Linked DNA regions of Lonchura striata. The protein of the gene in region 2 purifies or fractionates together with the protein of the main gene of each other region. This does not show direct contact. Links are inferred from orthologs where the notes say so. Each region holds a gene or a part of one and is shown on either strand. Other genes may lie near its edges.

What was found.
Region 1: the proteins of RPL7L1 (region 2) and REXO4 purify together in Homo sapiens (affinity purification with mass spectrometry; 3 studies listed by BioGRID and IntAct, with this or other methods). This does not show direct contact. The link is inferred for Lonchura striata from reciprocal best matches to the Homo sapiens genes RPL7L1 and REXO4.

What each region holds. Positions count from the first base shown.
Region 1 is NC_134624.1:7,754,461-7,767,069, forward strand, and holds REXO4 (RNA exonuclease 4), read right to left. Parts: upstream 5,124-12,609; 5' UTR 5,007-5,123; coding exon 4,809-5,006; intron 4,367-4,808; coding exon 4,014-4,366; intron 3,732-4,013; coding exon 3,579-3,731; intron 2,847-3,578; coding exon 2,653-2,846; intron 2,196-2,652; coding exon 2,107-2,195; intron 1,901-2,106; coding exon 1,826-1,900; intron 1,565-1,825; coding exon 1,490-1,564; intron 888-1,489; coding exon 786-887; 3' UTR 221-785; coding exon of another isoform or gene 158-220; 3' UTR 65-157; downstream 1-64. Other genes in the region: serine/threonine kinase-like domain-containing protein STKLD1, read left to right, coding at 158-220; ADAMTS13 (A disintegrin and metalloproteinase with thrombospondin motifs 13), read left to right, coding at 5,515-5,580, 5,868-5,934, 6,738-7,021, 7,166-7,307, 7,661-7,800, 8,424-8,507, 8,585-8,709, 8,947-9,093 and 6 more.
Region 2 is NC_134606.1:70,021,259-70,033,312, forward strand, and holds RPL7L1 (ribosomal protein uL30-like), read right to left. Parts: upstream 4,489-12,054; 5' UTR 4,448-4,488; coding exon 4,431-4,447; intron 4,283-4,430; coding exon 4,174-4,282; intron 2,881-4,173; coding exon 2,717-2,880; intron 2,554-2,716; coding exon 2,416-2,553; intron 2,176-2,415; coding exon 2,066-2,175; intron 1,897-2,065; coding exon 1,688-1,896; 3' UTR 1,684-1,687; intron 1,433-1,683; 3' UTR 814-1,432; downstream 1-813.

The DNA.
Region 1 (12,609 bases), on a different chromosome or scaffold from region 2:
AAAAATAACCACAGAAAGAAAGCTCCCTCTCCTGTTGTAACAACAGCCACTTCAAACACCTATGTTGGACACATTGTTTTTATTAATAAATGAATACAAAAAGAAGTGGAGCAACAAGGTAATCTTTTGTTTGACATTTTTTAACATTTCCCTCCAGAAGATTCAGACCCTGGTGAACGCAACACTTTTGAAACTGAGGAAGGAAAAACGTTTTGTCTGAGAACAAGACTTGGCCACTGCTGGATACAAAAGCCTGGATTCTTCATTAGAGGATTCTTCTCACCAGAAAAAATAATAATATTGGGCTAGTAGTAATATGCAAACAGGTATTTATTGATGGTTTGGGTACCACAATGGTGTAACTAACAGCAATATTTAAGAATTCACCTTGTAGTAAGACCTCACTTTGTGGACCTTAACATACTTGAAATAAAAATTTTAATCCTCCAAATTTTGACAAAGCAATGACAGTTTCTTCCTTCATCTATCATAATTTAATTTTTTAACTTATTCAGTGTCTATTTCCATTGAAGAAATTTAACTGATGAAGTTCTTCCCAACTGCAGGCATTTGTTACAAAGGTTGTTTGAACACAGTAGCAGACATCAGGCACAGGGCCCATCCACAGGGATACCAGCGGCACTCCTGAACTTCCAGGTTACTGTACCATTGTCTTTGGATTGATTTTATGAAGCGGCTGCTGTCAATTCTGACTTATCTTTAAATTTGGAATGTGACATCAAACCAGCAAATGCTGCAGAGATGAAAGATTCTACCCTGTGTTTTTAAGTTTTACAATTTTTGTTGTTAGCTTTGTTCTTAACAGCAGCTTCCCATTTCTTTTTCTCCAGGGTGTAAAGTCTCATAGCTGCTTGTGCATCCTGGATCTGAAAGAGAATAGACCAGACAAGGATGTGAGATAATAAGCAGCTAAATCTTCCATCATTTTAATACATCCTTCCAATTAACATTTCATGATCTCTTTTTACATTTAGGTCTGTGCCTACTGAAAGGGACAAATTGTGTATTTAGAGTCCAGGGCTCACCACAAGGCTCTGCATTTCTGATTGTTACTTGGAAAGTAGTAAGAGAATTTTGTCATTGACACAGTATCTATGAGCTCCCCTCCCAATTTTGCTTCCCCAGTTCATTCCTCTTTTCCATCCTCCTGCCCACTGAAATAAAGGATCTGCTGAGGTTCAGGTGTAGCCTCTCTCACTGTTTATCCTGCCACAGTGCAGCAGTGCAGAATGCTGCTTTTAGGGTAAACAGATCTTGATCATTACCTTTCCCCCTGGGAATTTTAACAAGAATTCAGAGTTAAGAGTTAACTTGTGCAGAAGTTGTTTACAAAATGAATGAACAGTGAGCGAGCTTAGATGACAACCTCCCTGCTGCTGCTGTCCAAGCAGAGCTTGCTGAGTTTCAGTGGGATGAAGGCACAGCACTGGCCAGAACCCAGAGCTGGATGATCTGAGGAGGCACCTACCGAGCAGTGCTCTGCTGTCTGCACCTGAACATTGAGCAGCTTCTCACACAGCAGCTTCAGGGATGGCCTGGAACTCTAGAGACAGAACACATCACAAACCATGCTGTCTCACAGGACTTGAAATAACACAGATGGGTGTTCTATAAAAATGTTATATTCTTCAAAGAATAGCACATCTTAGCCTCTGCTGGCGAAATACCAGGAATAATTAATGAATTAGGAGATCTGTGTGTGCATAGGTAGGAAAGAAGGAACAGGGTCAGGTAAAAGTAAGCACAGAAGTGAGTCAGCAGCTCTGGAGTCTGTTAATTGAGCACCTTCCCAGCAGTCTCTTACCTTGACTCTCTGTTTGAAAGGTTTGTATCTCTGTGTGTCCCTGATCTTCTTGTGAGGATGATCAAGAAGTAGAACCTAGAAGAAACCACATTTTCAGTTAAATGTGTTATTGCATGAAACCTTACAGAGTTGAATGCTGTTGTTTCCTCCCAACCAGTGTAAGAGATACTTTAAAGCCATGAAAGGACAAGACCCAGCTCATCTAGATGGGGGGAGGTTTCCAGCTCAGGTGTGTTCCCTTGATCCAGAATGATGTATCACAAACCTCATTTTCAATTTACCTTTAGGTCATTCCTTAGGGCGTGTCCAACTAAAATCCTTCCTTGCAGGATCTCAGCCACCTCCTTCTGAACAGTTTTAAAGTCTTCACCTAAAAATGCCACACAAGGAAACACTTTCCATGAGCAATCACAGCATCTTTTCTGGGAAGCAACTGTATCCTTGGAACTGTAGTTTTTGTACAGTACACTGAATTTCTGCTTGCTAGAACATAGAGAATTCCATAAAGAGAACAGCATAAAAAGAAAATGAACTTTTATACTATATTCCACCAGTTAATTCCTTCAAGGGTATAGAGAATTCTATAAAGAGCACAGCATGAAAAGGAAGTTATTTTTTTACACCATATTTCACCAGTTAATTTCTTCAAAAATGTTAGTGATCACTGTAGAAAAGTACATCTTCCCACAATTTTTCTTAGCATTAAGTTTAACTCAAATCTCAGCATTTTGTTTTCCCAAATTAGGTCTCAAACTGTTCCAAGCTCAGCCAATGAATCTTCTGTGAGAACCCAGTGAATTCTCCCTCTCAGGGGAAAGTCCTGGTACCTGTGTTGATATTCTGAGGCCGGATGCCGCTGACAGCTGTCCTGTAGTCTGTCACCTTCTCCGTGGGCTTGACATACTTGTCATAAACACACTTCCCAAACTGGTTAACGATGGACACCCGAGCCAAGATGCTGTCCTCACCCTTGGGGCCCACCCCCACCATCTCACAGTCCATGGCCACGGCCCGGGTCAGCCTGGAAGGCAAAGGGACAGCTTGGGGACACCTCTGCAGGCCCAGCTGCAGCTGACAAGGTTCACATTTGTGTGAGCAGGGCAGAGCCTGGCAGCAGAGGCAGGGAGATGGCAGCTCACTGTGCAGATCCCTTATCAGAAGCCAGTCTGCCAGCTGATATCATTATTATTGCTGTTTAATTGAAGGGATGGGACTAGAGACAGGTTAAAAACAATTTATTATTCAGATAAACATTAGTCTCAGAGGCTGTGAGATTTATGAGAGTAAGCAGTTATAGCTCAAGAGTAGTTATAAGTTCTTCATTACAAGACAATATATAACTTTCTAATCTAATGGACAGTTGCTACAAAGTTTATTTTGCTTTTCTATTACTTATTTCTACTGCAATGTGTATACTTTTATCTAATGGGCTGTTATCACGTGCACACACGTTTCTATTATAACCACTAAACTCTTAGCTTACTCTCTACAATTACACTCTTACATGATAAACCCTTCACTATCTTATTAATACAGTTTTTTACTTAAGGTATACTCTTACAACTAGAGAAACATAAGTTTATGAGTTTATAGAAACATAAGTTTTTCTGCTTAATGTCTGTGTACTTTAGTTTTACATTAATCTAAGCTTCTTCTAAGGCTACAGATCAAACTTTTGCCAGTGTCTCTGGCAGTTTCTATCTTTCCATTTCTCACACTCTGCTGCCATCCTTCCCCCTGCAGTGTCACTCACCCTTCAAAAGCCTTTTCCTTAACCAGCACCTGCTCCACAGACTGGGATTGTTCTGCTTCAAGTCCCAGGTTCCTTCTGGCAATTTTTGCTGCTTCAGGTCCTAGTGCTGCTTCAATATCTTTGGGATCAACATCATCAAACCAGATGTCAGCCCTGGGAAGAACAGATTTAATTACATTTAACAGCCTCAAAGCAATCTGGTGTCTGTTGTACAAAAAGTATGTTTACTTTCTAAACCAAGAGTTAAATCCTGTGAAATTTAAGTCCGTGACTGGCACCTCTACAGGTTTCTTGCTGTGTCTGAGGAGCAGGGGCAAAATGTTCCTTATTTCTTTCAGAATTTAGTCTGGAAAAGTGTAGCTGTTTGGAATATACCTCTCTGTGCTCTTCCCAAAATAAATACTCTCATCCAGAGCTGCTGCCTGAAATACTCACTCTTTGGGCTGCTGCTCCACGTGTTCCTCAGCTTTCCTCCTCTTATGTTTCAGCTCATCCTTCTCCTTCACAACAATGCCATTTTTCTTCTTTTCTTTGCAGCCTTTCTCATTGCTTTTAGTGCAATTTAAGTTCTTTTTTGCTGCAACCCCCTTGGATTCTGGCTTGGCCAAAGGAGGACTGGCTTTAGCAGAACCACTGTCCATTTTATTTGTGGATTTGGCCTTTACCACATTCCCATTGACTGCTGGGATTTCTGGGTTTTTGGCTGCTTTGAGTGGCTGCTTCTTTTTGGTGTCTGTTTGACCCGTGGAGATGGGCTTCTTGGAGTTATTTGCCTTTTGTTTCAGCAGCTAAAATGACATTAAAAAAATAAAATAAAAAGATAGATAAAGGAAAAGAGCCTGGAAAAGAGAAGCTTTAGAGTGACTTAATTGTGTCCTTCCAGTGCCTAAATGGAGCCTCCAAGAAAGGGAGAGAGGAACTATTCACAAGAGCCTGGAGTGACAGGACAAAGGGAATGACTTCAAACTGCCAGAGAGCTGCGTTAGGTGGACATTGGGAAGAAATCCTTCTCAGTGAGAGCGGGCAGGCCCTGACACAGGGTGCCCAGAGCAGCTGTGGCTGCCCCTGGGTCCCTGGCAGTGCCCAGGGCCGGGCTGGGACAGTGGAAAGTGTCCCTTCCATGGGGACAGTGTGTCCCATCCATTCAGGCGCTGCTGCCAGCATGGCCCCGCTGCCTCCCTGTCCCAGCTCCCCGGGGCTGTCCCCACCGCATGCCCCGGTCCCCCTCACCTCCTGCAGCGCCTTCCAGTTGGAGGAGAACTCCTGCGGGTTGCGGGGGGGACCCGCGGCCGCCATGCCGGGGCCTTTCGAGGCGCCCGCCGCTTCCCCCAGGGCCTTCCTCTTCTTCCTCCTCCTCTTCTTGCCCTTCCCGCGGGCCGCACCGCTCGGCCCCGCCGCCGGAGGCTCCGCAGGACTTTGCTTGGCCATGCAGGGTCAGCGGAACCGGGATCGGGATCGGGATCGCGGCGCAGCGAGTCTCACCCGGGCCGGCGCTCCCGCAGGGGGACCGGCCCAGCGCCGCACCGCCCCGCCGGGGAACTCCGGCCCGCGCTTGGGTTCCGGGGCGGAGGGGGCGGCGGTTCCAGCGTTCCGGGGCTGGGGGATCGCGGGGTGACCGTCCCCCCTCCATGTAACCACGGGCGTGTCCGCAGGGCCCCTCGGCCCCCGAGCCGCCCCTCGGCCCCCGAGCCGCCCCTCGGCCCGCGGGGCTGGCGCACAAGCTGGAGAAGCCGCGGGCATTGCGCGAGGGCGGCCGCGCCGCAGCTGCCGGCGCGTCCCCCGCGGGCCGGCCCGGGGCGCGTTTGCTCGGGCGCTGTTTGTTTGCCCAGTCGCTGTTTGTTTGCTCAAAGGCTGGTTCTGCTCTTCCCTTCCGCTCCACGTGAGGCCTGGGGCCAAAGCTCTCGGTGCTCGGCCGGGAGGGCTCGGCCGGTCCGGCATGAGCGTGAGCTGGGCGCTGCGGGCGCTCGCCGTGCTGCCGCTGGGGCTGTGCTGGCTCCCTGAGGTGAGTCTGGCCTCCGGGCGGCCCTTCAGCAGCGCGGCCGAGAAAACCTAAAACAAACAAACAAAAATCTATAAAAATAAAAATAAGAAGAGACGACCCGCTTCTAAGCCAAACTCCGTCCGCGCTCGCTAATCAGGAAGATGGAGCTGCTCCTTCGTGGAGTAAAGCCGTGAGGGTTTGGCTCTGGGACTGCTGAGCTGTTTGCTGTTGTTCCTTCCAGGTCAGCTCCAGCGCAGGGATGGCCTCGTGGCCATTTGTTTTTGCTCTTATTTTTCTTCTTCTTGCAGAAATTCCTCGGCGCTTTGGATGGGGAAGATGTTCTGTCTTACTTTGGAACCAGCTCAGTGCCTGATGGTATGCAGGGCTCAGTGTCCCCCGGTTTAGAGCACATCTGGCCGGTGGTTTGTAACCCTGTGTGGTTGGCAGTGCTAATTAACAACAGATTAACAACCCCTGAAATGACCAGCATTTGGTGTTTCTGAGTGCAAGTGAGACAACTTGGGTTCAGTGTGAGTGGATGGAGAGATGTCTCAGAGTTTCAGATCCCCTCAAGGAGATGTGTCCAACCTCTTTGCACATTTCTGCTGCACTCCCCATTCTCTGTATGGGTGTTTTTCTTCTGGCAAAAGCTTTAGACTAAGGATAACTTTAAATACATGTTAATTATTATTATTATTTTTTAAAATAAATGCACAAAGAGATTTGAATTCTGGGTCTGGATTGATTGATGATAGTTCAGAATAAAGATGTTTTGAAGTCTCAAATCCCTAAAGGAAGGGTGTTGTCTCTTTGTGAGTTCACCTAGTGCTCATCCCAGTGTCTTTGCATTGTGATAATTCCCACTCAGTAATAGTTAAAAGCTGCAGGAAAAAAACTCAGCCCTTTTTTAGATGAAGTGTTCTCCTTATTGAGAGAGCAAAAGCTGCAATAAATTCAGTGCCAGTTTCTGTGTGTGTTCCCAGTCAGATTATCCTCACTTTAGAATACACAAAAGCACAGAAATTCTGTGAATGGCTGTTGCCACCATGAGCCCAAGAGGCCACAGCTGTCATTTTTAGGGTATTTTTCCTGGGGAAATAAACCTTACACTGGGGATTTGTGTAGCATCCTTTCTCATAACTGCTCCCCTTGTTCTGGTCGTGTTTCATTTCTTCCAGTACCTGAGTTTGTGGTGGCTGAGCCCGCTTGCCCTTGTAAAGAAGAACATTTTGGGCTGAGGCCCTGTCGGGTCCAGCACTGCTCCATCCAGGCCTGGGGGCAGCTCTATGCCTTTGAATTCCTAGAGGACCACGCCCTCCTTTCCTCCTCCTTTGTGAGCAGCCAGGTGGTGAACTCTTCCTTTATTTTACTGAAGAGATTCCCCAGGAGCTGCTTTGCAGGTGGAAAAGCCCTGCAGCCTCCTGGGGCCAGGAGCAGAGTCACTTTCTGTGAAGGGCAGCTGGTGAGTATGAGCAGGAGCAGCCTCTGGGGTTGGCAGCTTCATGCACCAAACGTGTGTGAACCATCCACTGAATAAACCTTTGCCATCCCCATGGGTAGCAAATATCTTTGGAATAACACAGAGGTGCAATTTTGTCTGCTTCAGCGAGGAGTGGTCACCGTGGGTGAGGAGAAGGTTCACATCAGGCCAGTCAGGAGCAAAGATGTGGCTCTGCTGAAGGACCTCGGCTTCTCCAGTCCCCACATCCTCTTCAAAAGTGCTGCAAGAGAGGCAAAGCCAGCCAGAGGTAACAGCCATGGAGAGGGAGCCCTGCTGGAAAAGCTGTCTCCTGGAGCATTGCTTCCATGAGCTCAGAGGAAAAATCTGTGTTTACAAAATCACGAGTAGACTTGGAAAGGTTTCTCGCCTCGCCGAGGTGTGCCTGGCGTGTCTGATGTGGCTGGTTGTTATTTTGATAGCACAGTTGTGTTGCTAAAGCTGCTGGCAGGTGAAAAACACCCCCAGAAGTGGGAAAGCTGAGCAAGCCCCTGCAGAGGTGGACTTGCAGCTGAGTTATTGCAGCCTCTGGGGAGAGGGAGTGGATCTGTAGGACCTTTCATGGTGCATTTGAACCTCCTGGTGTCCCTCTGTGCTGTCCAGCAGGGTGGGCTCCTCCTCGCCTGCGCAAGAGGGCTGAGGCAGCTGTCAAACATCTGGAGCTGATGGTGGTGGCAGGGCCAGATGTTTACTTGTACCACAGAGAGGACACGGAGCGTTACATCCTGGCCAACCTGAACATTGTGAGTGGCTCTGTGCTTGGGATCCTGTCCCAGGCTGTGCCCCAGGCAGCACCTCAGGGTGCTTGGGGTCACCTGTCCCTGGCACAGAGCTCATGTGCAGGGCATTCCTCTGTGCTTCCCTGGGCATGAAATCCCCCAAATTCCCTTGTATAATAGTAAAAGAAGATCTTAGAGGATTTAAAACCCACAGAGAAAATGTAGCTCTTAATTTAATTACTAATGTTGCAACACAGGTAAAGAGTTTTCTCACCCTGTTGCTTTCAGTGGGATTGAGCTAAATCCACTGAATCCATTTTATGTTTCACATTGCACTGTTGTATTTCTGTTGCAGAATTTTCATGTCTCTTTTTTTGCTGTTATTAAGAATTTTTCTCTGTGTGTACAGCAGAAAAGCCTTTAGCATTCACTCTACCCTGTGAAACTTTTCATGCAGATTCTTCTCTCTGCTTCAGAGTATCTGACAAATCTAACCACTTCTCACCTCCTGACGGATTTTTTAACATTTGTAGTGCATATGTTAGTGTTGTAGTTATCTTTGTAATGAGTGCAGCCCAGTTCTTGGGAACTGGGCTTGGGAGTCCCTAAGGCTCATTGTTTATTGAATCCTTTCTGTCTCTTCTTAGGGAGCAGAGCTGCTCAGAGATGCCTCACTGGGGGCTCATTTCAGAGTTCACCTCATGCAAATGCTGGTTTTGAGAGAGCCAGAGGTAAGGGGAGGGCTGTGTTTGAGGCTTGCCCAAGCTCCAAGCTGTTTAGAATGTGCCAACGTGTGCCTTCCCTCCAGGCAGAGGTGAACATCACCACCAACATCACCTCCTCCCTCATCAGTGTCTGTGAGTGGAGCAAGAAGGTGAACCCCCAGAACGACTCTGACCCCCAGCATGCTGACATTGTCCTCTACATCACCAGGTGCTGAGCTCCCTGCCCTGGGAGGGACTGGGAAATAGGATTAGGTTGTTTTATTCAGTTCTGCTTGTCTGAGGACATTTGGTTTTTTAATGCGGAATCCTCATAAAATTGGAGCAGTGGGCACTCATGTCAAAAGAAATGTTGGATAGCTGGCAAAGCTCAGATAAATTCAGCTGTCTGACTTTTTTAGCTGTGAGGGTTCTTTGCTCTTTCCTCTTTATGTCTCCCTTACTTTAGGTTTGACCTGGAGTTGCCTGATGGGAACAAGGAACTTCGTGGAGTGACTCAGTTAGGGGGAGTCTGCTCCTCCTTCTGGAGCTGTGTCATTACCCAGGACACTGGCTTTGACCTTGGAGTCACCATAGCCCATGAGATTGGGCACAGGTCAGTAGGAGACTGCCAGAGCAGCCCAGTAGGTTTTATTCAGGGTAAAACACCCTCCAGTTTAAGAAAGAAGCAAAAGGACCTCTTGACATAAAAGGGAATTCCCCATGGATTATTCTAACCCTTTGGGTCATCATCACAGATTATTTTCGAAAGAGTTCTTTGGATTTCTTGCATTCCTGCATGTCCTGTGACAACTGGAAGCTGCAAAGAGGAGAGAAACCCTTTGTGACAACAGTAGAAGGAAGGGCTGCAGAGGGAGCTCAGTCCTTGCTTAGAGAAGGGAGGCTCTGAGGGAATCCAGCCTCTGGGTTTCTTCTCCTCAGGGCTCTGTTCTGCTTCTGTTACAGCCTTGGCATTGCCCACGATGGAGAGGGGAATGTGTGCAGCAGCAGTGGTTACATCATGGGCTCAGCAGGAAACCACAACAGCATCGACCTCACCTGGTCTCCGTGCAGCCGGGAGCAGTTCCTGGCCCTTGTCAGGTAAGGGAATGGTTGAGTTCTTCAGTTCCCTATGCTGGGGGCTTAGGAGAGAAAAACTCAGTGAAGAAAAAAGTTTATTGAAAAATGAGGAACAGTAAAAAGCTTGGGGTTTGTTTATTTCTTAGCACTTGTTGCTGAGGTTAAACCCAGTTTTTGCTTCATGTTGCTGAAGTGGCTTTGGTTGGTGCCTAACATGCCTGGGCTGGGTTGGATTTCTCAGACACTGGCTCAGCCTGCACATTTTATTTACAACATCAGAGCATCCAGGCACTGCAGGCTGTGCTGGCTGGGTGCAGGACAGGAATGGGATAGAACTCCAGCAGCAGGGAACTGTGAACATCTCCAGGCAGCTGCTGCAACTAAATCCATCCCAGCCCACAGCAAGCATATGTTGTCTGGGAAAGCAGCAGCCAACTCCCAGAGTGAAACTCAGCACAAGTCTGCAAGCATGTCCTTGTCCTCACTACCCACAGCTGGGAAAGTTATTCCTCATGTTTTTATCAGTACAGGCCAAACAAGCTGCTTGAATGACCTGCCGGACATGGACGGCAGCATCCCGGGGTGGAAGCCTGGCTTGTACTATGGAGCAGATGAGCAGTGTAAAATTGCCTTTGGGAGTGTGGCCACAGCTTGCACCTTTGCTGACACCAATGTTGTAGGTAGAAAGTTTGTCTGTCTTGCTAAAGGCAGCAGGGAAATGTTCAGGAGCCAAAATTCGGGAGAACTGGCTGGCAGCATTTTTATTCTGAAAGGATTGAAGGTGCTTTTCTTGGCAAAGCTTTCAAAATGTTTCCCTTCTCTTCATCACCTCCTTCCTCCACATAAATCTCCTGTAAGGTTTACACAGTTGGGTGCTGTTGTGCACAGCTGGCAGTGCTGGGTGCACCCACTCAGGGTCCTGCCTTGGGGAATTCTTGTTCACTGGATTCCTCCAGCTTCCCTGCCATGGCTGAAATCCCTTTGTCTGGGAAGCACAGCGTGTTTAATAGCTGCCATCTGGACATGTTTTGTTAATGAGAAAACACTAAGGTGGGTGAAAATTTAATTGCTTCAGTTGATCATCTTCCAGCATTGCAGCTGGTGATCACTACAGTGATGATCTTTTGACTTGCCCACAGCTTTTGCCCAATAGCAGGAAAAGTGAAGGAACTTGCATTTTTGGGTGTCTGGGAGAAAACCTGGGATGTGCCCTGTTTAGACTTTTGGGACTGTGTTGTTGAGCCTGACTCCCTGAACTCTCTGATTTTCTTGTCACACCAGGACATCTGTAAAGTTCTCTCATGCCATGTACAGCCAGCAGACAAATCCAGCTGTACTCGGCTTCTGGTTCCCCTCCTGGATGGAACTGAGTGTGGGATCAACAAGGTAAGGAGGCTCCCACCAGGAGTGGGTGTGGGGGCTGTGGGGCTCAGACAGAAAAGCTCTGTCAGTGTCTGGAAGGTACCTGGCACTCACTGCCCCTTGGCCAGGGAGCTAAAACGAGTCCTAAACTGGTGCCATTATGTCCTGATCTTGGTCTTTCCATCTTGTCTTTATCTCTGGAGTTGCTTTGCAGTTCTACAGCCTGATACCTGAGCTCTCCTACTGGAAATGCCCTGCCTGCTCTTTGCTTTGACCCCAGCCTCATGTTAGACCCTAATTAGGAAGGGGACTCTTCAGCCTCTTGTCAAAAGGTGCCTCATTCACCCCAGGACTCTGTTACTGGCCTGCCAAAGATGGGGACTCGTGCCAACCTTTTAGATCCCAGCCCTGCTGTGCTCACTGCTGCCAGTTCTGTGTGTTCTTGATCCTAGTGGTGCTCCAAGGGTCAGTGCAGCTCTCTGGAGGAACTGAACCCCATGGCTGTGGTCCATGGGCACTGGTCTGCCTGGAGCCCCCTCTCCCCCTGCTCCCGCAGCTGCGGCGGGGGGGTGGTGCTGAGGCAGCGCTTCTGTAACAACCCCAGGTGAGACGTGGGGACCTGCCTGTGCCCAGGGCCTCGGGGCTGCCTCTTCCTCTTTGCCTGGGACAAACCTGCCTCTGTTGAGGAATTCTGTCATTTCCAGGCCTGCTTTTGGAGGGCAGGAGTGCCACGGGGCCAGCATGCAAGCAGAGATGTGCAATACACAGGTAATGGAGCTCAGCATCATCTGAACTTCTGTCTTACTGTTGAGCCCTTTGAGGGCTGGGTGTTTTGTGACTGTCCTTCCCACAGCTGACTGCTCTGGTAAAGGTCTGGTATACAGGCTCCATCTGTCTGACAGCAGGAGAGGTATTTGTGCCATGGAAGGCAGCAGGATTATTTAATAGCCTTGTTCACATGTAATGAAGCATTTTCTCTATGCCCCATAGCAGGACAGATGCTGAGAAAATAGAGACTCACAATGATGGTTTTCTTCAGATGGGCTTTCTTATATTGTTCCTGTTTTCCTTATCTATTTATTTTGTATAAATTGCAAAGATATCAGCTTCCAAGCACAATTCTCTGCATATCCTGCAGCCTTCCTTTAAAGTGGTTTTCTTTCTTTGCAGTTGTTTGGGTGTTTTAATCACCAGCCAGTGCATTTTGCCTTTAGCTTGAGGGTTGAATGTCAGTGCTCAGTCACTTCCTTTCCTTACACAATTATCTCTCTGGGATCCAGGCCTGTCTGATGACCCAGCAGGACTTCATGGCTGAACAATGTGCAGCAACAAATTTAAAGCCACTGTACCTTGATGTAGAAACACCATCCTTTTATACCTGGACCTCTGCTGTTGGCTTTGCCAAAGGTAAGGAATGTCTGGAACCTCAGTTTGTGCTCATGGGCCTCTGTACTTTGGAATGAAAAGGCTGTTTCACTGAGTGTTTTAGTTTTCACATGAAACCTGGGTGCTTTCTGAGAGATCATAGAATCCCAGAATGGTTTGGGTTGGAAGCGACCTTAAAACTCATCCCACCATGGCAGGGACATCTTCCACTATCCTAGGTTGCTCCAAGCCCTGTCCAGCCTGGCCTTGGACACTTCCAGGGATGAGAGTCCACAACCTCTCTGGGTTTTTTCCCATTGCCTGG
Region 2 (12,054 bases):
AGAAAAACTGCCTAAATCTAGGATTAGTTGCTAGAGTTGTATTATTCTTAAACTGCATTCTGTTAGCAGTCTTAAATTCTCTGTAGCAACTAAAATAATCTCATTCCTAGTGTGCCAGTTTTCATGTTAGAAGCCTGGGCTGTTTTATTACCAGAAATAACCCTAAAACAAATCAACCAAACAATTCTTGTACCACTCTACAATGGTAGCAGCTGTTTTATCAGGAAAACTTTAAACACATGAAGCCTTCTATTTTAATGACCACTGGGCTCTGGTTCTGGGGACACAGTTGTTCTGTGTACGTCTGTAGTGTCTGTCCAGCGTTTTCTATGTTTCTATTCTTGGTTACAGAATAAAGCTTCGGGTTTTATGTTCTCTAATTGAGAGTCTACAGTTCTTGGTACTTCAGATGGTTCCATGAATGCTACATTCTAGTTTATAACTGTCACACAAGCAACACCCAAGACATCCTCCTTGTTACTTAACTGTTTCCTTCCTGAGTCTCCATGTGGTGTGGACTCTGTATGAAATCCATTAATGGATTAACACTTTGCTCCCACCTAAGTTTTCAAGCAACAGTTTAAACAGTCACAGTGAACTAATGACACTGCCTTCCATATTTGTTAAACAGCACTGGACTCTTTCATGTGTTCTTACCATTTCTGTAGTGGAAGAAATTAGGGATTTAAATCTCTGGAACTTTCAGACTTACATGGTTTTGTTCACTTCCTTCACTAAATTCATTCCAGCCAGAGTGTTTAACTGGTTTTTCCACTCTTTTACAGTGATGCAGAACTTTCTGTTATAATAATATAATTTCAGAATTTTATTTAAAAAACACAGATTACATATACCCTATCCCAGGACTGTATTTCTTGCATTTTCTTATTTCCAGGAAATACTTCTCCCCAGCAGTCCCAATACAGCAAAAGAAAAAAAAAAAAAAAAAAGGCAAAAAAAAAAAAAAGCTCTTTAAATCAGGACCACAAACCCTTAATTTTTAAAAAATAAATACAATCCAGGTACTTAACAAGTGACATTATTCACGGCTAGGGCTTGTGCTGCAGTAACAGAGCATGGTGTTTTCTTTTTTTTCTTTTGCCTATCAGCACAATTGTGACTGCACTACCCCTTTCACCCCCAGAAGCACATCAAAGAGTGAAGTCTGTAGTAGTGTGCATAAAAAACACTTATTTTACAGAGATGCAAATGTGAAATTGCTCCAAGAAGCTCATTCTTGTACCAAAGAGAATTTATCTTCTTTAAGAAGGGCCAGCCCAAAGTCCATCTCCATCATCATCTTTGTGTTTCTTCTTTTATAGAGGCACCAGCAATCAAGAGAAGTTGCATACAGATCACTGCATGTAGATAATGTCCACAAAAGGTACATGTGAAAAGGAACAGGTCATAGATCCCAGTTTTCACAAAATCCCTGCAGAATAGGGAAGAAAATATAAAATAAAGTCATATTATCTCCCAGGAGCCAAGCCTTCATGGAGGTGTCCAACTGCATGTGCTGATCCTAAAGGGATCACTCTTGATTAGTTTCTCCTACTCTGAGGTCAGTTTTGCAGAGTGACAAAACCAAGTGAGCACCCCATTCATCTTCAATGGCAGTCTGGTTGTCCTTAGGACAGGGAATGAAGGGTAAGCTTCAGAACTAACCCAGCAGGCACTGCTCACCTGACTAGTTGAGCTGACGGATGAGCTGGTTGATTGCATCACCTCTGTAGCCAGGCTTGCCCATCTCCTTGAGGAAACCCACTCTGTTCCGTGATGCGTGGCGAGCCACTGACAGGTGGAACGGCCACAGAAAGCTGGTTACTCTTTTGAAATACTTCCCAGTTGAGTAGATTTCATGAATAAGGTCTTCCAGGCAAATGATATTACAGCCCCCTGTATGAGGGAAAAAAAAAGATGTCCAGCTGTATAATCTTTCCTCACACTGCTCCAGAACTGCCAGTCCTCCAGTTTGACAAGATTTTGTCTGTCCCCACCCTTTCAGGCCAGACTGTAAACTCTCAACACCTAACCCTTTCCTCAATTTTCTCACCCTCTTCCTCACCTAAATGTTCCTCTATCAGCATGTTGTCTGTCAGAGGCACCTTCTTTTTCTTGATCTTGGCTTGGCCCCGTTTCAGGATGAGCTCTCGTACAGATTTCAGGTTAGGCTGTCTGTGCAGAAACAAAAATCAGATCCTGTAACAGAGAGACATGATGCAGAGGGACACCCATACCACTTCCTTGTGCAGAGGTGGGAAAGTACACAAGTTATGTCAAGAACAATCAGAACAAAGAAAATAGCAAGTTTTTAATACAAAGTTGATTAAGTTTTGACCATGATTGGAGAAGTAATGGATCTGTGATAGCAACTGGAGAATCCAATGACCCCCAAGTCACAGGAGGGGCACGTACCCCCACGCCACATAAGGCTCCACGATGCGCAGCATCTTCAGCGACAGTGGGCTCAGCTTCACAAATACCCCGGTATAATTCTTCCTCAGCCGCAGCAACTCAATCACTCTTTTCACCCTCTTAGTCACTCCCTTAATACTGAGGAAAACAGAATTTATTAGTAACCACATTTTTCTAATACAGCAACTAAAGGCCTCAGATCACCTGCAAGGAGACATGTCTAGGTTGATCCCACTGCCTTGGTATGGAAACGACACAACAACGGGTAGCAACAATGGAAGGAGTAGGGGAAGGCTCTTACTCCACAATCCTCACGACGAAGGCCAGCTTGCTCTCCTGAGGTGCCACTGCCTGCCCAGGCCTCTGCTCCATGCGCCTCAGCCGGGTGTCATCCCGGCGTTTGCGCCATGAATCCCGAACAAAGGTCTCCAGGCGCCTGAACTGGATCTGTTTCCCCTTCTGCTGCTGCAGACAAAAGGAAAACAAAGTGAGGTTTGCATCTGAAAGGCCAAATGAAATGCAAAGTAGTGAACAATGTCCTTACAGCTTTGGAAGCAGTAAAAAAATAAATTTGATTATCTAAGCCCAAGGGAGACAGAACTGAGGGACAACATGAATTTATACACAACTATTATTTATGAACAGTGAACAAAGAGTTTTTCCCTAGGAAAAGTATAAGTTAAGGAAAAGACCTGGGATACTTCTAGGCATAGCTACAGACAGAGCTCAGCAATGGCTGGGAAAGCCAGAAACGGCATGTGGGCAACAGATATTTAAATGTCTCTCTTTACCTTAGGAATGAGTACATCCACCAACACTCATAGTGTTTTCTCATACAAACAGGACTTGAAAATGCACAGCATTACACAATGATATTTAAGATACTCTACTGGTTAAATTACCTGGCCACTTTAAAGAATCTAATGTTGTGTGTCTTCTGTTCTATTTCACCTTGTAAATAACCCATTAAATTCGTTTGAATTTTCAAAGCATGGAGACCTAATAAAAGTCTCATCACTAAGATCCTTTTTAATGAGAATCTTAAGGAGTGGCTATGTAATATTACTGCTTATGCTCCCACCTTGGAAATACAGCAAACCACTGATGCTTTTAAAAATGTAAACATGGTATCAAACAAAAATGGCAGGAGTTTTGCACATCCCACAAGATTCACTGGAAATCTTTAAGACAGACACCTATTGTATTAGCTGTGACACAGCACAACAAGTCTCAGATTTGGAATTAGAAAGGTTTGCTGTACTCTGCTAGTCTGGAAATGGCACGATGTGCACAGGGTGTAGGACATGTGTCACCCCACTCGCAGAAAAAGGCTTCATCATGACCAGTGCTGCTCTAACAGAAAACTCTAAAGCCGCCCTCAGAAAAGGACGGCTTCCATGCAGGGTTTCAACACAAAGGTGGTTTCAGGCAGTGAAATCCCAGGGCAGCAGAGATAGCGCTGCAGTTTCCCACATGTGACTGCAAATACCTGACCACCACTGATCCAACAGGAACAACTCACAGTCTTCTATATATTTCTGTTTCGGTGTAATAACCGGTACAATTCTGTCCGCTTTACAAGGCTCAAAGGAGAAGATGTTGAGGGACTCAAGTCCCCCTCGGAACCCCGGAATCCCGCGGCGCTCTGAGGGGCCCGACCACTCGGGTCATTTCCCAGGAATTTCAAGGAATTGCGGTTCCCTTCTCCGGAGGGGGAGCTGGAGCTGCAGGCCCAGGCTCTGCCGGGACCCGCCGTACCTTGCGTTTGTTGAGCAGCGCCTGCTTGGCCTGGGTGGCCTTGATGGCCAGGTACGCCTTCCTCTTCTTCAGCAAGTTCTCCGGCACCAGCGGGATCCGCCGCTTCGGCCTGCGGGCGGGACAACCCGGTCACATCCCGGCCCCATCCCGCATTCCCGCATCCCGCCCCTTCCCGGGCCGGCTCCGTGGCCGCCCCCAGCCCGCGGATGGCGGCGGATCCCGCATGCCCTCCACTCTTCCCCCTACGCCGCACTCACTCCTCCAGCTCCGCCATGTTGCCGCGCTGCTGCCGCGCATGCGCGGGGGCGGGGCCATGGCCGCTGCCCCTCGGGAGCCGCTCGCCGGCCCGGGATCGCGGAGTGCCGGGAGCGGGATGGAGCGGGATGGAGCGGGATGGAGCGGGATGGAGCGGGATGGAGCGGGATGGAGCGGGATGGAGCGGGATGGAGCGGGATGGAGCGGGATGGCGGCGCTGCCGGCCCTGCGCTCGCCCGGCAGCCACAGGCGGCGGGCCCGGGAGACGCGCGGTGTGACCGGCGCGTCACCCGCAGGTGGTGCCAGAGCCGCGCTCTCGGCTGGGTGCTGGTGGAGATGTGTTCCTGGTGTGCCGTGCGGGATGCGGGACCTTACAGCCCGAAATCCTTCTCATTTCCACTGACCGTAGTGTCCTCTCACCGGTGAGGAGCTCCAGCCTTGCCGGGAGGTTCGGTCGTGCCAGGGTTTCGCTGCTCACCTTGGTGATGCTGCAAACCTTTACAACACTCTAAATGAGCCCGCTTCTGTTTTGACACCTAAAACATGAAAATCCGTATTTAGCAACTCGATCCCAAATGCCAGGAAGAACAAGCCGTCGGTGATCAAACCCAGCTCTCATATGCATTCTTTTTTTTTTTTTTTTTTTTTTTTTTTTTTTTTTTTTTTTTGCATATGACACACAAAGCAACAAGCTTAGGAAATAAATAATCTGAAACTTTTCCCATAACTACACAATTTTCACCCTGACTTACAAAAATAGCTGGAATCCCTCGTAGTTCACAACAGAGAAAGTGGCCCATTTAAATCTACAAATGAGTGTGCTTTGTTGAACAGGAGGGAAATGCAAACAGGCTCTTGGGTATTCCACCATTAATGGCCAGGAAGCAATAAGTAAGTAAATATTTGAAGTGCTGTTGCTGTTGAAAAGTCTCCCAGCACAGCAGCATTCCGAGGCTGATTTGCTGAACTTCAACCAGCAGTTATATTGTTTTAATGAATGGATATTCAAATGTCCCTGTTTGCAGGGATACCCAAGAAAAGTGTTCCCACTTTCCTAGACAGCAACCTGCTGTACACTGGCCTTCAGCACTCTGAATTCCCACACACAAAATTTTAGGGCTCCAATTCCAAAAGCCAAGTCAGGAGATGAGATGGGATGTCAGAGGTCCATGGAACTTCTTGACTTATTTTCTCATTCCATGGGTATAAAACTCCATTAAATTAATTCCAAATCCCACAAAACCTTTATTGATGCTGTATGCAGTCTCGAAACAGCAAGAGGGCTTTAGGTCTATCACTTTCATCATTGAACTATGCCCTAGTCTGAAATCTGTTTGTAATAAATTCTTTATAAAAAGAGCCAAAGAAATTAAATTTTGTTTATTTTACCAATGATCTAATCCTGAGAATATTTTAATAAGGAAAGTACCTTGAGATTTTAAATTATGCCTATTTTCAGATCTTTTAAGGGAAAAGTTTATACAATTAGGACAGATGTCTGGAAATTACTCCATGCACACACTCTAACCAATAATTAATAGAGAGAAAAGTTGGGTGATCCAAGACTTTCTTTCATGGAAACAGCAATCATATAGAGATGGACTAAAATTTCATTAAAATATTTTTAGAAACACTGTAGATAGATGCATGGGTTTATTATTTTCAAAATAAGCTTCCTTAAGATGGGCCTTTTTGTCAGTAATCCTGCAAATTCACTACAAAAGGAGCAATGTGGGTATGAGACTAACATAGATGGGTCCCCTCAGTTAGCGGCACCTAATACGTCAAATTGAAAAGGCTAAAACATAAAACTTGTCTTTGTGTCTCCCTAGAAAAAAAATTGAATGGGGCAAAACAATTCATTCTTTAGTGCCACTAATTTATCAGCAACAATGGAAAATATTCCAGTTTCAAAAGCTCATTTTTACAGTAACTGTTGTGAATAATTCCCTAGAAGAAAATCAGACTACTAATAAAGCCCTGGCACAATTTTCAATTATTGTCCCTGGAAATGTTATCTGAAGTTTTAAGTTACAAATATTAAATTACAGATTTATATCTGTCAGAATGTTCTGACATATTCTGAAAGAGTGGTGTTACCTATTTACAAGTTTCCAAAGTGAAACAATTGTAAGAATTAAAATGTAAATTGATTTTGTTTTACTTCTAATGCACTTGTAAAGGCCTGGCTAATGACCCCAAAATAGAAAAATTGTTTTTCGATTGCAATAAACAGCAATGAAAATAATTTATTTCTCTGCTTTGTCTATAAGAGAGTGTACATGGTGGCTGCAATTTGAGTGTACAACAAATTTAATTGTATCTTTAAAGAACAGTGGAGATAAAAATAGACATTATTATATGTAGTCTCCACAGGTCTCCATGACCTCTCTCCTTCTTCCACAGGGACAAAAAGCTGCATTGTATTTGGGAGAAAGATCAATTATGTCTGAGATGAAAGACAGTGAGAACAGAATAGGAGTCTTTCCCACACTCAGTAATTGGGAATCCTACCTCCTACTTTTTAATTGAACCTTCAAGATAATTATGCCATTTAGGTTGTGGAAGCATATTAATAAGTACACCACAGCATAAACTATTCATAAAAATACTACAGACTGGGGAGCCATAAAAAGAGATGGAATGGAATAGCCTAATTAGGAAGTTTATCATGTCAGTGTAGACAACTCAATAGGAGATGCTTTGCATAGACAGATAATGCTCTCTGTTCTAAACCTCAGTGGTTCTCCTACAAAGGTGTTGGGTAGTGGACGATAACTTTTAATCTATTTTTCTTTAAAAATAAGCATTTAATTATTTTTATTTTATGGCTCTGGTTACTGACACAACTATGTAATATTCTTTTGCAAGTTCAGTTTGGGAGACTAGGGAAGAAACAGGCAGCAGTTGTTTCAACAGAAACAGGAATCAGAAAAGGATTAAGACATCATAAGTGAGAAGTGACCTGCAGTAATTAATATAAAATCACAGCAGTTTCACAGGCTGAGCCCTGAAGGAAGGTGTGGCCCTGAGTGCTGACAGTGCAATAGGGCTATAAAGGTCCTCTCACTTTTTTTCCTGTTAATTTATGCAGGGAAAGTTCTGATTGGAATATTTGAGTTTGTCTGCAATTATTGGTGACAACTGCCCAGATAAAGCTACAGAGCGTCAGTATTTGGCCAGAAAACACCAGGCAGAAAAACACAGAGAGAAGGAGTAGGAGGGATGTAAGTGGTCACCTGTAGCTTTTTCCCAAGAAAGAGGCTGTGTCCCTACACACAGCAGAAACAAAGGAAGGGAGGAGGTAGTTGCAGGGTTCTCCTCATGGCACAGCAGATGTTATAAGTCTGAGTGCTAAGCAGTGAAACAGCAGATAAAAATCAGTAAATAAAAGTGCAGCAATGTTTCACAAATTTTTCTATGAAATGATGGGTTCAAGGTAAGATAATAAGATTGGGAGTAGGATTTTGGAACTATTAGAGATAGATAAAAATATCAGCTTAATGCTTAGGACAACTGAACAGTAATTGAAAATTATTAGAGAAGGGGTAAGGAACAAAGCAAAAACTGATTCCACAGCATAGCCTCTCACACCCGCATTTTGAATGCTCCAGCTTTGGTCGGTCATCTTTCTTCCATCTGTCCATCTCATACCTCCACCCACCTTCCCCCAAGACAGACTTGGAAAAGATTCAGAGAAAGAAGATCAAACACAGGGAATAGTTTCCATCTGTGGAGCAGTTATATAGACTGGACCTGCCAGCTGGGAGAAAGGTGCTTGAGGGAAGATAAAACAGTCAGTAAAATGATAAATTCTGGGATTCCTCTTTCAGCACAAAAAGGGAACCTCCGATGAAGGCAGCAGGAGGCAGGTTCACAGGTAATAATTTGGGTTTTTCAGCACATGAACTTGGATTGAAGACCCAGACCTCTTAGCCACCAGAGGAGTTACACATTCCAGCCGTGTGTTCCTGCCCACCTCCCCTGCCCCCAGTGGATGTGGCCTTTCTGCTAGCTCAGCTCTAAATTTTCCATTCAAATGAAATAGATCCCATTTTATATTTGCCCTTGCTATTATAGCCCAGCATTAGAAAAGGCAGACAGAAATCAGTTTCTTTGCCTGCATACAGAAGGGCTCATTTAATCTGAATGCATGCCCTTCCCTGCTCAGCTGCACCGTGTCCCATTTTCCTGCCTTTGAAGTCCACCCTTTCCAGTCTTTAAAGAGCTTTGGATAAATGAATCCTGTTCCTGCAGTGATCTATTATCAGCACTGTCTAAAAGCGAGAAGGATGAGGCAAATTTGCCAAAAAGCTGAGGAGAGGTGGAAAAAGTGAGAAAGGAATCAATATCTGTGTAGCTCCAGGTAGCACTGCCCGGACCACAGCAAGCAAAGCCCAGCTGCTTGGTTCCAGCAGCTTGGAGCATCATTGTCCAGCTGTAACAGTGATCCATCAGCTGGCAGACTGAGACTGCAGGGGCACTCCATCACCTGGAAAAAAGGGGGATGAGATGAGGGGAATGCCTCAACACGAATAAACCACAGGAATCCAAAGAAACTGTGCTGCTCCTCTGTGCTGTGCTCAGCAAGACTTGGTTCTTCCCTGAGAGTTTTCCATAACCCCTGGTGGAATCAAGGCATTTCTATATCAGATGCTGTGTTCTCACTTCTGAGATAGTTTCTGACCCAAGAGACATCCTTAGGAAGAGCTCCTGAAGAAAAAACAGGTCCTGTTTCTAAACCAGTCAGCAGGATAACAAGCCTGTCTTGCTAGTTCAAATTTTCTATTCACATATTAATTATACTGTAAATTATTTTTGATGTATTGTATAGAAAAAGTAGAAGAGTCATCATCTTTTTTTCCTACTTTTTAACAGTAAGAGTAAGCTTCTTTCTGTCAGTACACAAACCCAATAGTGAAAGAAATCACTCGGATGCAGGTATGCTTCAAACAAATGTTAATTATCAAAATAATCAAATAATTGTCAAACTCTTAATTCTCAAAACAGCATCTCCCACCTTGGCATATGACACACTGAAGTTGTAGCTGAAAAATGCTGGAAAACATATGCTATTTTTTTTTCTTTAAACCAATTTTGTCAAGGCACTGCCTACTCTAAGAGTTGGTGACGAGGCAGAGCTAATTAGGCAGGTAGGTTTTATCAAAGAATAGAAGGCTCTTAAATCTGCAGCAGAGAGAAGAACCTGACCTACTTTGTGTATACCCCTGGTGCTTTTATTTCAGGTGTTTTCACAGTCTTTCTAAATTCCTCATATAGCCATTGTAGAAAGGCTTTCTGTATTTTCATAGTGCTTAATTGAATTGCTTTAACTCAGGTTTCAGCATCTCCCTGTCAAAGAAAAATCATTCCTCACAGCCTTTTAGACAGGAGATGGAAATGAATACCTTCAAACACACTACATTCCCAAATCTTGAAATCTCTATGCAGAAACAATTTAACCTGAAGGAATGGGAAATGATGGCTTCTGCATCTCCCCTTCCCTTCAGCTCCAGACTGGCTCCCTTTCTGGGAGATAAGCTTGAATGAAAACACCTTATCTGCAGGATTCACTGTAGAGATAACAAGGTGCAGCATAATGACTGACCAAATGCACTGCTGCAATGTGATTCTGCTTCTGGTGTCAGGAGGGATGTGGGCAGGAAGAGGTGCCCATTCCAAGGTTTGGGCTGGGGCTCAGCTCCAGGGATTTACCACAGCTGTTTCCAGCTCCTGCCAGGGCAAGCCCTGGCACAGTCCTCTCCTTCCCTTTGTATTCTGATTTCTATGTGGAAAAAGTAGACATGCAGGACAGGAAAAAGCCAGAAAACATTCCTACCACATCCTAGTGAGGCCTAAGAACTGCAGACTGCATTGCAGCACAGACCTGTATAGCCCAGGATATGCTTTGGCCCCAGATAAGGATTTCATTCAAAGAGGTCACTTCTTCATGGATACTTCAAAACCTGGAAGGCATTGCTGGAATTCAACCCTGTTATCTGTTTGCAATCATCTGAAGATGCCTGGATTGTGTGGTGTATTATTATTATTATTATTATTATTATTATTATTATTATTATTGATCACCCACCAGATTATTTCAATAAAAATACTTCAGATGATGAAGTATATTTGTTTTTGAATTCCTGACATCACTTTAAAGGTTTGCTTTTCTGAATTTGCATTGTGGAAGTGCTCCCTTGGGCTTCCTTGTATTTTTTTTTGTTGCTGATTCTCTTCTTCAGTTTACAAGATACTACATCTACAAGCTGCTTTCTGCATAATCACATCTACCTTTGAGGTGTGGACACTTCTGCCAGAACACACGGGCTACTTATCACTGCCTTCTTTTTCTACAAACAGAAATTCACTGGCAAATTAATGTAAAGTTTCCTATATGGAGCTAAAAGGGAAAATTGGGGGATTTAGTGGAAAAAAGGGAAATATTTTTTTTCTTCATTCACCCTAATTAAAATTAATATCACTTTGGCTCCAAGTAACCCCGGTGACTGTAAGGAAATGAGTAGTTCAAACCAGCAGCTCGCTGAGCTGAGACACTGCCACACATATGGCCTGTGTGCTCACGGACTGTTCCTGAGAAGAGCCCAGATGGGTTACAGCAAGCAGAGACAGCCATGCTTTAGCCCCACTTGTTGCTGTTACTAAATTGTTTCTAAGTTTCACTCTATTTCCAGCTATAAGATACTTGTCCATTGTCTATTTTCACCTTAGCTACAGTCTCTTCAGCTCAACTGTAATTTCTCAGCACTTTCTTGTAGCCCCTCTTTTAATGACACAAGTTTTATTATACAAAGAAGCCTGAGCAAGGACCAAGGACTGTGCATCTTTAACAGACTCCTCCAAACACATCACTTACTGCAGCAGTGGCATTAATATTCCCTGTCACATCTCACAGTCCTTTGGGAAACTGCACTATCTGCCAGTAAAGCTTTTCTTTACATTATTCCCTAAGTGGTCACTGAGTGTTTCACACAAATACATACAACAGGAAATATTCTTCCTGTTCTTTTATAAATTCAATTTTGAATAGAAATATCTGTTTTGTTGTTTGTATGCTTGATATGTTCTGTGGCTGCTGCTCATAAGTTGTGAAATATTCTCTTTCATCCCTTCTAAATTCTATTAAAATCTAGTGCTTAAGTTACTGTTCCCCTGAGCTTAACCCATTTTAATAAGTTTTAGATGCTTATTTGGTTTCTAAAATTTATCATATATCTCCTAAACCTCTTTCCTTGCTCTAGCATACCCTTTGGAAGACACATGCCCAGAATATATTAAGAAAAATAATTACCAGTGGTGCAAATATAACAGTTTTGCTTTGTTAGTAATTAATTTGATGCCTGCAGTTCTAATGCTGATGTTGAGCAGAAATTAAACATAGTATCTGTAGCAGAAAGTTTATTTATGAAGCATGAGAATATCAGTCCATTGCAAGTCAGCACACTTTTGTACCTAAAAACCACCAGTAGCTTTATATATATATATATATATATATATGTATTTTTGGTATCAGAGCTCTTCATAGAGATTTCACAGTGCATTGACTGGAGGGAGCTCCCCTTTTCCCCGGAAGAGCATTTTAAGCTGAAATAGCAATTTTGGCCA